Canis lupus familiaris: one gene and its partner. The protein of the gene in region 1 purifies or fractionates together with the protein of each later gene. This does not show direct contact. Links are inferred from orthologs where the notes say so. Each region holds a gene or a part of one and is shown on either strand. Other genes may lie near its edges.

What was found. The genes of interacting proteins can lie anywhere in the genome.
Region 2: the proteins of CAPN2 (region 1) and SPATA5L1 purify together in Homo sapiens (co-immunoprecipitation; 3 studies listed by BioGRID and IntAct, with this or other methods). This does not show direct contact. The link is inferred for Canis lupus familiaris from reciprocal best matches to the Homo sapiens genes CAPN2 and AFG2B.

What each region holds. Positions count from the first base shown.
Region 1 is NC_049228.1:40,319,036-40,327,039, forward strand, and holds the start of CAPN2 (calpain-2 catalytic subunit), read right to left. Parts: upstream 4,508-8,004; 5' UTR 4,431-4,507; coding exon 4,194-4,430; intron 56-4,193; coding exon 1-55. UniProt on the Homo sapiens protein: Calcium-regulated non-lysosomal thiol-protease which catalyzes limited proteolysis of substrates involved in cytoskeletal remodeling and signal transduction. Proteolytically cleaves MYOC at 'Arg-226'.
Region 2 is NC_049251.1:12,070,158-12,076,500, forward strand, and holds the end of SPATA5L1 (spermatogenesis-associated protein 5-like protein 1), read left to right. Parts: intron 1-474; coding exon 475-605; intron 606-1,505; coding exon 1,506-1,631; intron 1,632-3,039; coding exon 3,040-3,207; 3' UTR 3,208-3,332; downstream 3,333-6,343. UniProt on the Homo sapiens protein: ATP-dependent chaperone part of the 55LCC heterohexameric ATPase complex which is chromatin-associated and promotes replisome proteostasis to maintain replication fork progression and genome stability.

The DNA of each region.
Region 1 (8,004 bases):
AGATGTCCGTGCGGGTAGCGCCTCCAACAATGAACTGCGGATCATCGCAGATCTCCTGGGAATGAAACCCACTGTCAACCACCAGGCGCGGGCTTGTGTGGTTAGGATACCTCAGCTCCCAGGAGGTACACCAGATGCCTTCTCCCTGCCCCTGCCCCCTGGGGAAGGCAGTGCAGTTACAGGCTGCCATGGGGTCCTGCTTGCACCTTGCTCCGTGGAGCCCCAACGCCCCGCACTGCTTGCAGCCTACATCATTTCACTGCTATCTGAAGCCACAGAGGCATGGAGCTGCCTCTCCACCAGGTGTGTGATCCTTTCACCCCTGGGGCCGCCCCCTCAGCCCCTCTCCAGTCCTGCACATCAGCTGTTTTGTCTTCGTGGGATTCCTTTCCCACCCTGATCTCTCACCTCCTACCATAGTTCAAGACTCATTGCCACCTCCTCCAGGAAGCCCTCCTTCACAGCCCAGCCGTTGGTCATCTCTGGGATTCTGAGCCCCAGAACACTTGGACTCTGCACCATCTAGAGGTGCTGGTGAGTGAGGTATGCCTTCTGAATCGGTCCACCGGGCCAGGATACTGGCAGCATCTGTGCTTGGGAACCTGCTGCAGAGCCAGGCTGCGCGTGGTGCTTTATGTCATGGAACCCTCCCAGGAACACAGATGGGTACTGTCTCCATTTTATGGGAGAAGAAATAGGCCAAGGGATAGAAGATGTGAAACAATGTGTCCATGGGGAGCTGACCCTAAGTCACAGACAGCGGCGCGGGATTTGCGCTCACTGGCCTAGAGCGCGTACTCTTTCTGCTCCTGCACTGCCTCCAACTGATGAGTAACAAAACCCTAAGGGTGTCACAAGCAGCCTGCTGGCGGCCAACAGTGAACAATTCTGGCCCCTTCCACCACCCTCTCTCTCTGTTTCCTGATTTTGAAGCCACAGAGGAAGCCAGGCATAAATCTGGGCTTTCATCAGCTCTGGTGACCTCAGTTTGCAGGTGCTCCACCCCACACCCCGCGGTGTTCCCCTCTCGGGCAAGCAAAAGCCCTTCCCGGGTGGGGCCTGCCTCTGGCCTAGACCCCAGCCCTGGGCCCCGGCCCTGGCCCTGCACCTCAATCTACAGCAGAGCACATTCCTTTCAGGCTTCGCACTGTGCCTTCCCTGCTCAGGTTGCTCTGTTTTGGGGATAACGGGACAATGAGAATGTGTTTCTGCTGAGCAACTGAGCCTGCCAGCCAACCACCCATGCAGCGTTTTGACGGACCCACTGGGCTTGGTGCCGAGAACCCAAGAACATGCTGCCGTTCCTCCTTGTGCCAGGCTCATCCCCCAGCAGGATTTTCCACTGGTTCAGAAACCTTCCCGCACCTTGGGCAGCCTCTTCAAAGAAGGCAAAGCCCAGACTGGCCCTCTGAGGCCTGCACACAAGCCTGCACACATCCAGTAAACAGGGATGTGATGGGTTCAGGGAAGAGGGTGAGCACCTGGGCTCTGGGTTCTGGCAATGGGGTCTGAGCCCTGGCTCTGCCACTTGAACAGGTTTTAGCCCCGGGCAAGTCCCTCCACCTCTCTTGGCCTTGGTTTCTCAACTGTAGTATGGGGATGGTGTGACAAGTGTACCGACCACAGGGTGTTCTGGAGGTTCAGTGAGATGACCGTGGAGGTGGCTTTGGTAAGCACTCCACGGAAATCACCTGTTACCATAGTCACTGACAAACAAGGGGATACTAGTCCCTGAACCCAGAGGCAGGAGACGCAGGGTTGAGGCTGAACAAGTGAGTCACCACAGAGGTCTGGGCTCTCAGGGGACACTAGGACTCACATGGCCCGCCCCTGCCACCCCTGCCTGCCTCTGCTGCCCCTGCCCTCTCCCTGCACCCCTGCCAGAGTGAGACTGCGCCTTCCAGGGACTCTGGTCCCTTCTCAGTCCCAGGGCCAGTCAGCAGCAGCAGCAGCAGCAGTGAGATCAGGAAACACCTCTCTGGGGAGGAGCCAGCCCAGCTTGCCCACCCCTTGCTCTCCCTCCTCAGGACCCTGTTTCACCAACTCCTCCTGTCTGCCCGGCTTTCACCCCTTCCTCCCTGTTGACTCAACTCATGACACACCCCACAGCCTCTCAAACCCCACAGCCCTATCCACCACTCCCTGTCTCTTTTTAGACAGTCTTCTGAAAGAGATGATACTCGTCCCTTTGGGTCCCTCACTGTGGAGTCCACAGCATAGAGCAGTTTGACTCGTCACCACCTTCCCATGGTGGATCCATGAAAGTCTTGTGTCCAAATCTGGGGACATTGTGTTTCCCTTCCTGGACCCCAAGCACAGCAGTGTCCGGGAGGGTAGGACGGAGGCCGAGGGCAGCCATGAGCCGGGGGCTCTGTACACCGACAGGCTGGACAGAGTTCTGGCTCCTCCCTGGACACCTGTGTGAGCAAACATTTAGCTTCCGGGAACCTCCATTCCTCCACAGTGGAGTGGGAATGTAACAGCCTCCCCGCGTCCCCCTGACACTTGTACAGCTCACAGCATCTCCCCCTAAGCAGGGGTGGAAACCCTCCTGGTATTTCCAACTGTTGGATGACCTGCCTCCCGTCACCAGCCCTAAAGTCTAAGGAGGCAAAAACGAGACACACCATGCCTGGCACATAGTAAGTGTTCAGTAAGTGCTTATTTAGTAAATGAAAGAACAAGGGACAGAGTGTGCAAATTCACTCTAAGCTGTGAGGCGCTGTGCTCATGTCAGGTGAATACGCTCTCTCATCTGTCACCTTCACAACCACAACTTCCCTTAGGTGCACTACGACCTGCTGTCATTCATTCCGTTGTTCCACGGAGAATCACTGTTGTTCTGTTCACCGATGAGCCCAACACTGAAGACAGCACCTGGCATATAACAGACGCTCAGTACACACTGCTGGACGAGGTGGAACTGGCCTCTGGGGACACACTGGTGACTGATACATAGGGCCCAGCAGTTCAGGGAGAAGGACAGATAATACCTAACTATGTCTATAAGCTGCAAAAACACTTGAGGAAAGATAGCAGGGCTCTGTGAGGAATCGTAAAAGATAAAGAATAATAAATGAGGAAAATATTTAGCAACACCTCTCCTTTTAGATGAAGAAATGGAAGTAGAAAGGCTAAAAAGCGGAGGCAGGGCCACTCAGTAGGTTAGCAAGGAATGAACTCAAGTGCTGGGGACCCCGCCGAGGGCATTTCTACTGCGCCTGCTGCCTACAGGCTGGATGTAGGGGAACAGGTGGCCCAGGCGGTCCAGAGGCATGGACAAGGGGCAGCAATCCTACGCTCAGGTCAGGAATCGAGAGGCTGGGTTCCCAGGAAGCCTTGTCCAGGTTTGGTGGGGGAAGCCGGTGAAGTGTCAGGGGGAGCCAGCAGTGGTTCACAACAGGAAGAGGGAGTAAGGTGTCCAAGGCCTGTCCCGGCCCGGTGTGGGGGTGGACAGGGCAAGGGAGCTTGGAGGGGGCCCCCGAGGCTCCCCAGGGAGGATGGTGGCCCAGCGCAGTGAGGAGGAGCATCTGCCTCAGTGCTGCATCACCCCTGTCCTTGTTAATCATCAGGGCAAGTAAGCGGATGTCTGGCCGACTCCCAAGTGGAAAAATAAACCAGAAACTCTGATTGGGTCAATGTAACCACGACCGCAGGAGAGATCCTTCCTCACAAAAGGCCCAGAATGCGGATTTCCCTCCTCCCTGAGGCAGACGCAAGCCGAGTTGCAGCCTGACTTTTCCTGGTCAGACACTGCCTCCCCCTCCTTTCCCCGCGGACCCTCCTCCCTACCATGTCCCCCCCCCGGAGTCCAAGCAGCTTCCCCCGGGTCCCCCGCGTGGGGTGGAGGGCGGCTCCCCTGGCGGGCCTGCTATGGGCCCCGGCCCCGGCCCCGGAGGGCAGGGCGCGCCGGGCCGCCCCGGGAAGCGCGGGGGCAGGGAGGGGCCGGGCCTGCGCTGCGGACCGGCTAACGGGGAGGAGCGCGCTCTCGGGGCCCTCCGCGACCTGGGTGTGCTCCGCCCGCCAGGGGCCCGGCCCCGCACCCCGCGCCCCCACCCGGTTCCCAGCACCCCCACCCACGCCCGCCCCGTTCCCCGCGCCCCCTCACCCCCCCGCCCCCACCCCGTTCCCCGCAGCCCCCTCCCGGCTCGCCCGCCCGCCCCGCCCCCCGGGCCCCCCGCACCTCCCCCTACCGTGGGCCGCTTCCACTCGATGCCCTGGGTCTTGCTGGAGTAGGGCCCCAGCTCCTTGAAGCCCAGGGAGGAGGGGATGGCCGGGAAGGAGGGGTCCTGGAAGAGCGCCCCGGCCTCCAGGCACTCGTCCCGCAGCGCCTCGTAGTCCTGGTTGAGGTACTTGATGGCCCGTTCGTGCGAGCCCAGCCCCTCGGCTGCCTCTCGGTCCCTCACCAGCTTGGCCGCGATGCCGGCCATGGCTCGGGGGCGCTGCGGGGCGCGGCGAGCGGGGCCCGGGCGGCAGGGGCGCGGCCTGGTCGGGCGAGCGGCGGCGGGACTGCGGTCGGCGGCGCTGCAGGCGGTGCCCCCTCCCGGCGGGGGCGGGGCCTCGGGGGGGCGGGGCCTCCTGCTGGGGCGGGGCCTCCTGCTGGGGGCGGGGCCTGGGGCCTGGGGCCGCGGGGCGGGGAGGAGCGGCCAGGTCCCCTCGGCGGCCCCCGGGGCAGGGAGGTCCCTGACCTCGATCCGCCGCCACCACCTAGGCCCCAGCGCTGTGGCCACGGCTCCGCAGCCGGTCTCTCGTTTAAGGCCCGCGGCAACCCCAGCACAGGGGGCCCCGCGCTCCCGTGCCCCGCTGTGCCCTCCTGCAGCTGCCGGCCGCGGGCCTCGGAGAGCTGGGGGGACGCAGGGTTCCGGGCCTCGGGGCCTGCCCTCGTCACACGCTGCAGGTCACTGCCGGCTGGCAATCAAAAATACATCCTCGCCGTTCCATTTGAATTTCAGGGTAGCACCAATGTTTTCTCGGCGTTAAGTATGTCCCAGATTTTGCAGGGGTGGGTTGTGGGGCGCCTGGCCGGGTCAGTAGGTGCAGCGCGACCCGTGCTCTTGGCGTCAGGAGCCCCAGGTTGGAGGTGGAGATGACCAGAAAGGTCTTGCTGGTTACCTGAAACTCACCTTGGAGGGAGGCCTGAGTGACAGGGGCAGAGTGTTGGGGGGGAGCTTCCCCACTCCAGCACCCAGGCGGGGTCCCACCCACTGCTAGTGCACCCCCCCTTCAGGGGGAAACGGGGTGAATTTGCCCCCTGCACCTGGCCCGAGGGGACACTGGGCTTGTCTGGAAGACAATTTTCATTGTCAGGACTGTAGATGGGGGCCACTGCCCTCTCCTGGGTAGCAGGGATGCTCCTAAACTTCTTACTGCCTGAGACAGCTTCCACAGCAAGTGATCTGACCCAAAATATCAGCAATGCTGAGAATCCTGGATTAGAGCCCTTCTTCCCAGCTTGCTGGGTAGTAGCCTTTCACTGTTTGAGCTGCTGTGGATAGCCAGACAGTACACTGTAGAGACCCAAACTCATCCTGACCCGTGGAGGGGTTTCCCCAAGTGGGGGAGGTCAGTTGAGGCCATCTGCACATTCATTTAGATAGTCTTCATTTCAGGACGCCTGGGTGGCTCAGCAGTTGACCATCTGCCTTCAGCCCAGGGCGTGATCCTGGGGTCCCACAGACAAGTCCTGCGTCAGGCTCCCTGCATGGGGCCTGCTTCTCCCTCTGCCTGTGTCTCTGCCTCTCTCTGTGTCTCTCATGAATGAATAAGTAAATTCTTAAAAAAACATGTCTTCATTTCACATAAACTTGTGTTTCTAGGACTTTCCCTTTGAACCAGATGCAGCATCTGCTCAGTTGCCTTATTTAATTAATGAGTTAAATGAAATCTTTGACGTGTGTTCATTTTATAACTAGATGAGAGTCGGTCATAATTTGATTTTTTAAATTCTCTTTTAGCCTGAAGAGTAGGAAGAACAGATAGTTGATCTTGAAGCATAGTTTGAGATTTGAGCACTTAGAATTTGCCCACCAGTCAATGACCTGTCAGGAGACACTTGAACGTCTTTGGAATTAAAAAAAAAGAAAAGAAAAGAAAAAGAAAAAGATGTCCTGGGTGTTCTCTGCAGTGTTAAGTGAAGCCTGAGCAAACTTGCAGGTGTGAGGAGAGCTTGTGGTTGTGCACTTTGTAGTCTTCAAACTAGTTACCACTCTGTAGTTTTAGGAAATTGATAGTAATGCTAATAACTCTTGTCCATGTATATGCAAATAGACTTTCCCTGGTGCAAGGGGGACCCCACAGCCTCCCCACTCCTGCTTTACATCTATTCACAGACCTAAATTCTGCATTTCTAACCAGCTGCTCTTTTAAATTCTCCTTTTAACTAGATTTTTTAAAGATTTTATTTATTTATTCATGAGAGACAGAGAGAGAGAGAGGCAGAGACACAGGCAGAGGGAGAAGCAGGCTCCATGCAGGGAGCCCAATGTGGGACTCCATCCCGATCCCGGGTCCCCAGGATCACGCCCTGGGCTGAAGGCGGCGCTAAACTCCTGAGCCACCAGGGCTGCCCTAACTATTTTAAAATAAAAAATACCTACTGACTCCCTCCTTCATTAATGAGTTAAGTAAAATCTTGCACATATGTTCACCTTATATTTGAATGAGAGTCATTATTTTACTTTTTTAGGAAAGTAACTTTCGGTGTCTTTTTGTGCAGCAGATGCTAACTTCAAGTGTTTTGGGGGTTGCCATGGAGAATAGGATGTGTATTCATTCTGTGTTGCTCCGCAGAGGAAACAAGGGCCAGCAATGGGCTTCATGGGGTGCAGGTTTTAATTTAACAAAAAATGCTCACACTGGCCCGCATTGTGGCACTGAAAGTATAGCCCTGTTGGTGTGCTCCCGAGGTTGAGGCTTCCGATTTTGCTGAGCACCACCTGCAAGCATATTAAAAACACAGCTTCCAGGCCTGCACACCCAGGTGCCAATTCACTAAGAAGTCTCTGACGATCGAGGACCAACAGGGTTGGGGCTGTAAGGCCCAAGGGCAGGCCACCCTAAATTGTGCCCCTTCGGCATAGTGATTATTTTAAATAAAAGTCACTCGAGAAACAGCTAGTGCAAGGACCCTCAAATCCTCCTCTGTCCCCCTGAAAGCAGAAAATAAACCTCCCTTATGAAAAAAATCCTCTTAGAGGCACCAGGGTGGCTAAGTGAGTTGAGCATCAGACTCTCCGTTTTGGCTCAGGTTGTGATCTTGGGGTCATGATCTCAAGGTCGTGAGATGGAGCTCCACATTGGGCTGAGATTAACACAGAGTCTGCTGAAGATTCTTTCCCTCTCTCTCTGCCCCTGCGCACATGCTCTCTCTCACTCTCTCTAAAAATAAATACTTTTTAAAATAAAAAGGAAACGAAAAAAATCCTCCCGCTCTAAGTGACACCCTTATCTTCAGAGATAGAGACTCCAAAGCCCAGAAAGCTGCAAAAACAAAACTTGTTACTTTTTCACTCATCTCCTATCTCAGCCCTAATTCCACTTGGACTTCCTTACTCATTAAAGCTCCCAAGCATGTGTTTTCTGATTCTGTTGATTCCTCACAAATTTATCATCTCTTTGTCTAAAATGTGTAAAAACCACCTGGGTTTGTTGGTCATTTCTTTGGGTCCCAGTTTCATCCCTGAGCCTCTGTGAGCATGTAACACACCTCTAGGTCTTTCCCCCATGAAGCCCATGTGTGTACACTGAACTCTCAGTCCCGCAGGGGACCTGGAGGGTGGAGGGGCATTCCCACTCCCTGGGGTCCTACTGCCTGGGGGCCTGCCCAGCAGGGGGCTGCTGACCTCCCAGGCCTTGACAGGCCAGTGGTGGTGTCGCTGGCAGGAGGTGGGACTCAGGCTGGAGGTGTTACTCCAGTGTCGTCAGGGGGCCAGTTTCTTCTTAGCATGAAAGTCAGCATTGCCTTGTTCTCAGGGGCACTTTCATAGGTTTTGAAAGGAACGATTT
Region 2 (6,343 bases), on another chromosome or scaffold:
CTGTGGTATAAGGCTTTCCTTTGGTTCTTACATGGAGAGATGTCCCTCAGGATTAGCTAGTCCCTTCACCACACAAAGTAGTTCTTTGACTAATAATTTGTTTTAGCATACCTTGATATCAAAAAGATGGTCTAGGGGCAGCCCGGGTGGCTCAGCGGTTTAGCACCTGCCTTCAGCCCAGGGCCTGATCCTGAATACCTGGGATCAAGTCCCACGTCAGGCTCCCTGCATGGAGCCTGCTTCTCCCTCTGCCTGTGTCTCTGCCTCTTTTTTCCCTCAGTCTCCTGAATAAATAAATAAAATCTTAAAAGATGGTCTTAAAGAAAAAAAAAAAAAAAAGATAGGAGGTATAAGCATTCTGGTCCTAAGAAAAGGATATACTCATTTAAAAATAACTGAACATTCTGGTTTATAATTTCTTAAAAATTTAATAATTGACAGCTTACTGAAATTATGTTGTGTGTTTTCTCTCAGAGTTTCAAGAAGTTTTTAACAGAAATGTCATGATTGTTGCTGCAACAAATAGACCTGATGTATTAGATGATGCCTTGTTACGACCTGGAAGATTAGATAAGATTATTTATATTCCACCTCCAGATGAAAAGGTAATCATTGCACATGTTTAGTGTATGTGAGGATTCTTAACACATCAATGTCTGAGCTCTAAGGAGCCTAGCAGAATTGAATCCCAAACTGGATATATACGTACATGGTATATGACTTACACTGGGTTCTCATTCTTCTTTGCCTGGTAGCCCTTCATAAACACATAATTTTGATCTGCTTTTGCTGGATACTCTAGGCCTATTTTCAGAGAAACATAAGCCTAAAAATAATTATATTTTTCATTGCTGAGGCAGACTCAAAATACTGAGCTTGTTACATCTACTCAAACATTATTTTACAACTAGAATGGAGGAATCTTAAAGTATTAAAAACAGTTGGAGATTATTTTTATCAGTATTCTTATTTTATAGTAGGAAAGTCTGAAATTAGAGAGATTACACAGTTTCCATAGTCAGAGAATCAGTAAATCTTTGCCCTTTTAACATCCACAGCTACAAGCAAGGAATGGTTAAAGTCAACAAATTTTTTCCATCCTTCCTAAATGAAAAAAAAAAATTAAATGTCTATTTTTAAGTTGTATCCAGATAATTCATGTTTTTGCTTCTTAAACCATGTCTGATAACACTATAACCATGTCTGATAACACTATTTATACCCAAAATGAGGACTCATGTGTCTCTTAAATGTACCTATAGTTGGCTATTTTAAAAATTATTATAAAAGTATTAAAAGTTTATCATGTCATTATTTTTACCATTATCATATGAACCATTGATGAGTTACTCTTCTTACCTCTTCAGAAGTTATTATTATTTATTTAAATAAATATATACACAGCTGTAGTATGACAGGAAACATATTAAAATGTTTTAATACAGCTTTGTGTCAAACATAAATGTTATAATAAGATTATAAACATTTTAATTTTTTTTTTTCAGGGCAGGCTTTCTATTTTGAAAGTCTGTACAAAAAATATGCCAATGGGGCCTGATGTTTCCTTAGAAAACATAGCAGCAGAAACCTGTTTTTTCTCTGGTGCTGATCTTGGAAATCTTTGCAAAGAAGTAAGTTAATTAGCGAAGGAACATATGGTTGACAACATTTCTTCATTTATTCAGATCTTCTCTACCCTTCCCTATCCTTCCCTACCCTTCCCTACCCTTTCCTACCATACCCTACCCTACTCGAGCTTATAGGTTCATGGCAGGTTGCAAAGAGGGAAATTGTAATACTGAATTGACAATTGATAATGTGTAGTGAATCAGGAAGTTTAGGGTATTATGGGAGCACTTGTGAAGGACACTGACCCAGACCGCGGGCGACTGAAGTAAGAGAGAACATGACATTGAAGAGCTGGATAATGGCCAGATCACACAGGTCTTTATAAGCCACTTTAAGGGATTTAGACTTTGAGAGCAAAAGAAGCTAGGTGTTTCCCTTTCCACAAACTTTTATTATATATTATATTTTATTATAGGTACTCTTCAGATAGGGGTGCCTGGTTGGCTCAGTCGGTTAAGTGTCTGCCTTTGGCTCAGGTCTCAGGGGATCAAGGGGGAGCCTGCTTCTCCCTCTCTCTCTGCCCCTGTGTTCTCTCTCTCTCAAATAAAATCTTTAAAAAAATGTACTATTCAGAAAAATGCACAGATCATAAGGATATAGTTCATTGAATTAACATAAAATGAACACTTTTATAACTATCAGGAAAGGGATTATTATCAACACCCCAGAAGCTTCTCTTGGGGCTTTCCCAATCTCCCTCCCAAAAGGGAACCACTCTCCTGACTTCCAACACTGGAGATTAGTTTTGCTTGCTTTGGAACTTTATATAAATAGGACTGTACAGTATATTTTTATATCTGCTTTAACTCAGGATTATGTTTTGAACTTCATCTGTGGTTTTGCCTATAGCGGTAGTTTGTGCATTTCTATCACTTTGTAATATTCTAGGTTATGAATATACTGCATTTATTCATTTTTTTGAACATTCGGGTTACTATTTTTTGTTACAAATTATGCTGCTGTGAATAATCTTGTTATGTCTGTTAGTACATGTATAGATAAGTCTATTTTATATATGTATATACCTACCAAGAGAATTGCTGGGTCACAGAGTAGGTGTTTTTGATCTTTTCCTTTAGGATCAGTGCTCTGTTCTGTTTAAAAACTCCTATTCTGAGGTCAGAAAGATAGTCTCTCATCTTTAAATATGTATATGGACTCATAGTGTACGCATTATGCTGCAACTTGCTTTTTCTTTTTTCCCATTTAAGAAGAGATGATGGTCTATTAAGATAACTTTTAATCGCTTTATTTAACTTTTTAGTGTTTTCAGTGTCATGAATATTGGAATTCTAAGAAGTGGGACTGAGGTTTTTACCCCGGATTTTAAAGTATTACCACAAATTGTTCAAAAAAAAAAAAAAAAAAAGTGAAGCACATTCATTATTTCCTCCTGTTTGTGTCTTATAGGCTGCCTTGCTGGCTCTGCAAGAAAATGGATTAGAAGCAACCACAGTGAAACAAGAGCACTTTCTAAAATCACTTAAGACTGTGAAACCATCCTTAAGTCCTGAGGACTTGACTTTGTATGAAAACTTATTTCAGAAACAAGGATTTTCTAACTTAGAAGATATTTAAAAATTAATGTTACATCTCTGCTCACAGATTAATTGAACTGTTAAATTGCCCTATAGTTTTTGCAATTTTGCACTTTTAGAGTTTGTGTGTTATTTCCTGTAAATAAAAGAATTTGTACCAGATAAGCTAAAGCTCATCTTATTTCTAAAAATATATATTAAATATATATTATATATTAAAATACCATAATTTAGGAACAAAATATATGTGTTTTTTTTTAAGATTTTTTATTTATTTGATCAAATATGTTTTCTGGCCTTCTGTCCCTCTCAGCGCTCTCTGGAACCCCAATTTTACATAGATTTTTCCTTATGAGACTATCATTTATTTCCTTTAACCTTTCCTCGTGGTCTTTTAATTGGTTTTCTTCTTTTTTTCCTCAGCTTCCTCTTTGCCATCAACTTGTCTTCTATTTGCTCACTCTTTCTTCTACTTCAATGACCCTCATCGTTAGGACCTCCAGTTTGGATTGCATCTCATTTAATTGATTTTTTAATTTTGGCCTGATTAGATCTAAATTCTGCAGTCATGAAGTCTCTCGATTCTTTATGCTTTTTGCCAGAGCCACCAGTAGTTTTATAATTGTGCTTCTGAATTGACTTTCTGACATCGAATTGTAATCTAAATTTTGTAACTCTGTGGCAGAGTACTGTTTCTGATTCTTCTTTTGTGGTGAGTTCTTCTTTCTAGTCATTTTGCTCAGTGCAGAGCAGCTGTGTGAGCAGACTGAATCAAGAATATCAACCATGACCTAAGTAAATTTCAACCTAGATGATTCTGACGAGGTCAGAGACCAGAAATTGAAAACAGATCAGAACAAAATAAAAGGACCACTAAAGTGAAAAATATATTTTAAAACAAAGTAGTAAAAAATAAAAGAATCCCAAAGGAGAAGAAAAAAAAAAAAGGGAGGACTGGGAGATGATGTTGATGACAAAGTTGTAGTGGAGGGAGAATGTAGTCTACCTGAGGGGTCCTAGAGGGTGATCCTCTTGGTTCTGAGTATATTAAGTTCTGTATGTTAGAAGATGCTCAGTCCCAAATTTATATAAACCAGAAATACTTGTAGAGAGCCCCAACATTGACCACCAAAACAAAGGAGGTAAAAGAGGGGGGCAGAATAGGAATGAGGAATCTCACAGAAAACCAGCACGGTATACCACTTGGTTCTGGGTGTATACTGGCCATGTTTTAGAAGGTATTAACTTATGCCATTGTAGAACAAAATGAGGCAGAGAAAACAAAACACAAAAAAACATATCTTGTATATCTCCCAAAATGGAGTATGTTGAAGGGAATCTAGAAATGGAAAGTATATCTAAGACTTGTAGGAATATGAAAGTCAAAAAGGAAGAATCTTAAAAATGAAGAGGTGGTAAAATATTGTAGTTAAGGTGGGAAAAGAAAAAAATTGGAAATTTACAGTCTGATATAAAACCGAGTTGTACTGGAAAATGGAAGAAAAAAAATAGGAGGGGTACCCTCTGGTTCTATAGGCTGTAAATCCTCGACTTCCCCTGGAGCTCTCCAGTGCTGCCGGGTCAAGAAGTTGCTCTTCCCCCGTCCTCCCAGCTGGTCTTCGGGGGGAGGGGCTGCTGTGCTGATTCTCAGGTGTGTGCACCTGGGGGAGGTGCCCCGCCCCTACCAGGTGCGCGGCCCAGTGGGAGCCCTTGACCCCGTGAGGCCCTGTTCCTGGCGGCCCGCTCGGTCCCAGGCACGCGGTGACCCCAGGAGAAGCAGCCCCACTGGCGGCGGCCGGCTCCCCAGCCCCGGAGCAGCTCGGAGCAGCCCTCGCAGTAACTACCGCGGTCTCCGGGGCCGCACTGGCCGGGATGCTCCGGGGCGGGGGCGCCGACCTGCGCAGCTTGGGGCCGCCCCAGCTGCTGGAGCGTCCTCGCGGTCCTGGGCCGTCCCCGCCTCGTCTGTCCCAGGGGGAGCGCAGGACCCCGGCTCTGTCCGCCAGCGCCCTGGGCTCCGGGGCCTGCGCTGCTGCAATCGCGCTCCCGCTCCGGGCCGGGGCTGCGGAAAGCAGCAGGGGCAGCCCCCTCCGTCGGGAGCCGCCGCCGAGCTGCTCCCCGAGGCCCGACCGGCGCGCTCCAGCCCTTGGCCCAGCTCGGCCGCGGGGTGCGGCGCGCTCTCCCCCGGGCGCACTTCCCTCCCGGGCCCGGGAGGCCGGAGGCTCCACTGCCCCTCCTGCGCTTCTGCCCCAGCTCCCCGCGAGGCGCCTTTCCGTCCGGAAGGATCCAGCGCGGGTTTTTCAAGTTCCCGCTTCTCCGAGGCTGGACTTTCTCGTCCAGGAGGCTCTCGCCTTGGGCCTTAGCCCGGCTCCTCGCGGAGGAGGAGGGGAGGGGGGCGGCTTCCCCCACTGGATTATTTTTTTCCTCCTTCCTACCTTGTTAGAAGCGCAAACCCTTCTCTCTGTAGCGTTCCAGCTGTTCTCTCTAAATCTCAGGTCGAATTCGTAGGTTTTCAGGATGGTTTGAAAGTTATCTAGGTAAGTTGGTGGGACCAGGTGAGGTGAGGACCCTACTCCTCCGCCATCCTGCCCTGTCCCCCAAGATATTTTATTTATTTGAGAGAAAGTGCATACAAGTGGCAGGGAGGGGCAGAGAGAGGCAGACTCCCCACTGAGCATGGAGCCTCTGTGGGGTTCAATCCCAGGACCCCAGGATGGTGACCTGAGCCAAAGGCAGATGCTTAACGAACTGAGTCACCAGGCGCCCCTGATTTTTTTTGTTCAGATTTTATTTTTAAGTAATCTCTACACCCAATGTAGAGCTCGAATTTATAACCCCAAGATCAAGAGTGCATGCTCTACTAACTGAACCAGCCAGGTACCCCTGTATGTTGATTTTTGTAGTGGGGATGGTGGTTGCTTTTGTTTGTTTTGGCTTGATTGCTTTTTTTAAACTGTATTTTGAAATGATTTCATACTTACAGAAGTTGCAAGAATAGTACAAAAAGAACTCTTATGAACTCAAACCAGATTCACCAATTTTTGACATTTTGCCATATTTGCTTTCTCCTTTATATATACACACATACATGCACACACAGTATTTTTCAGGACAATTTAAAAGATTTTATGATCATGCCCTTTTACCCCTTGATACTTCAGTGTATATATATTTTTTTT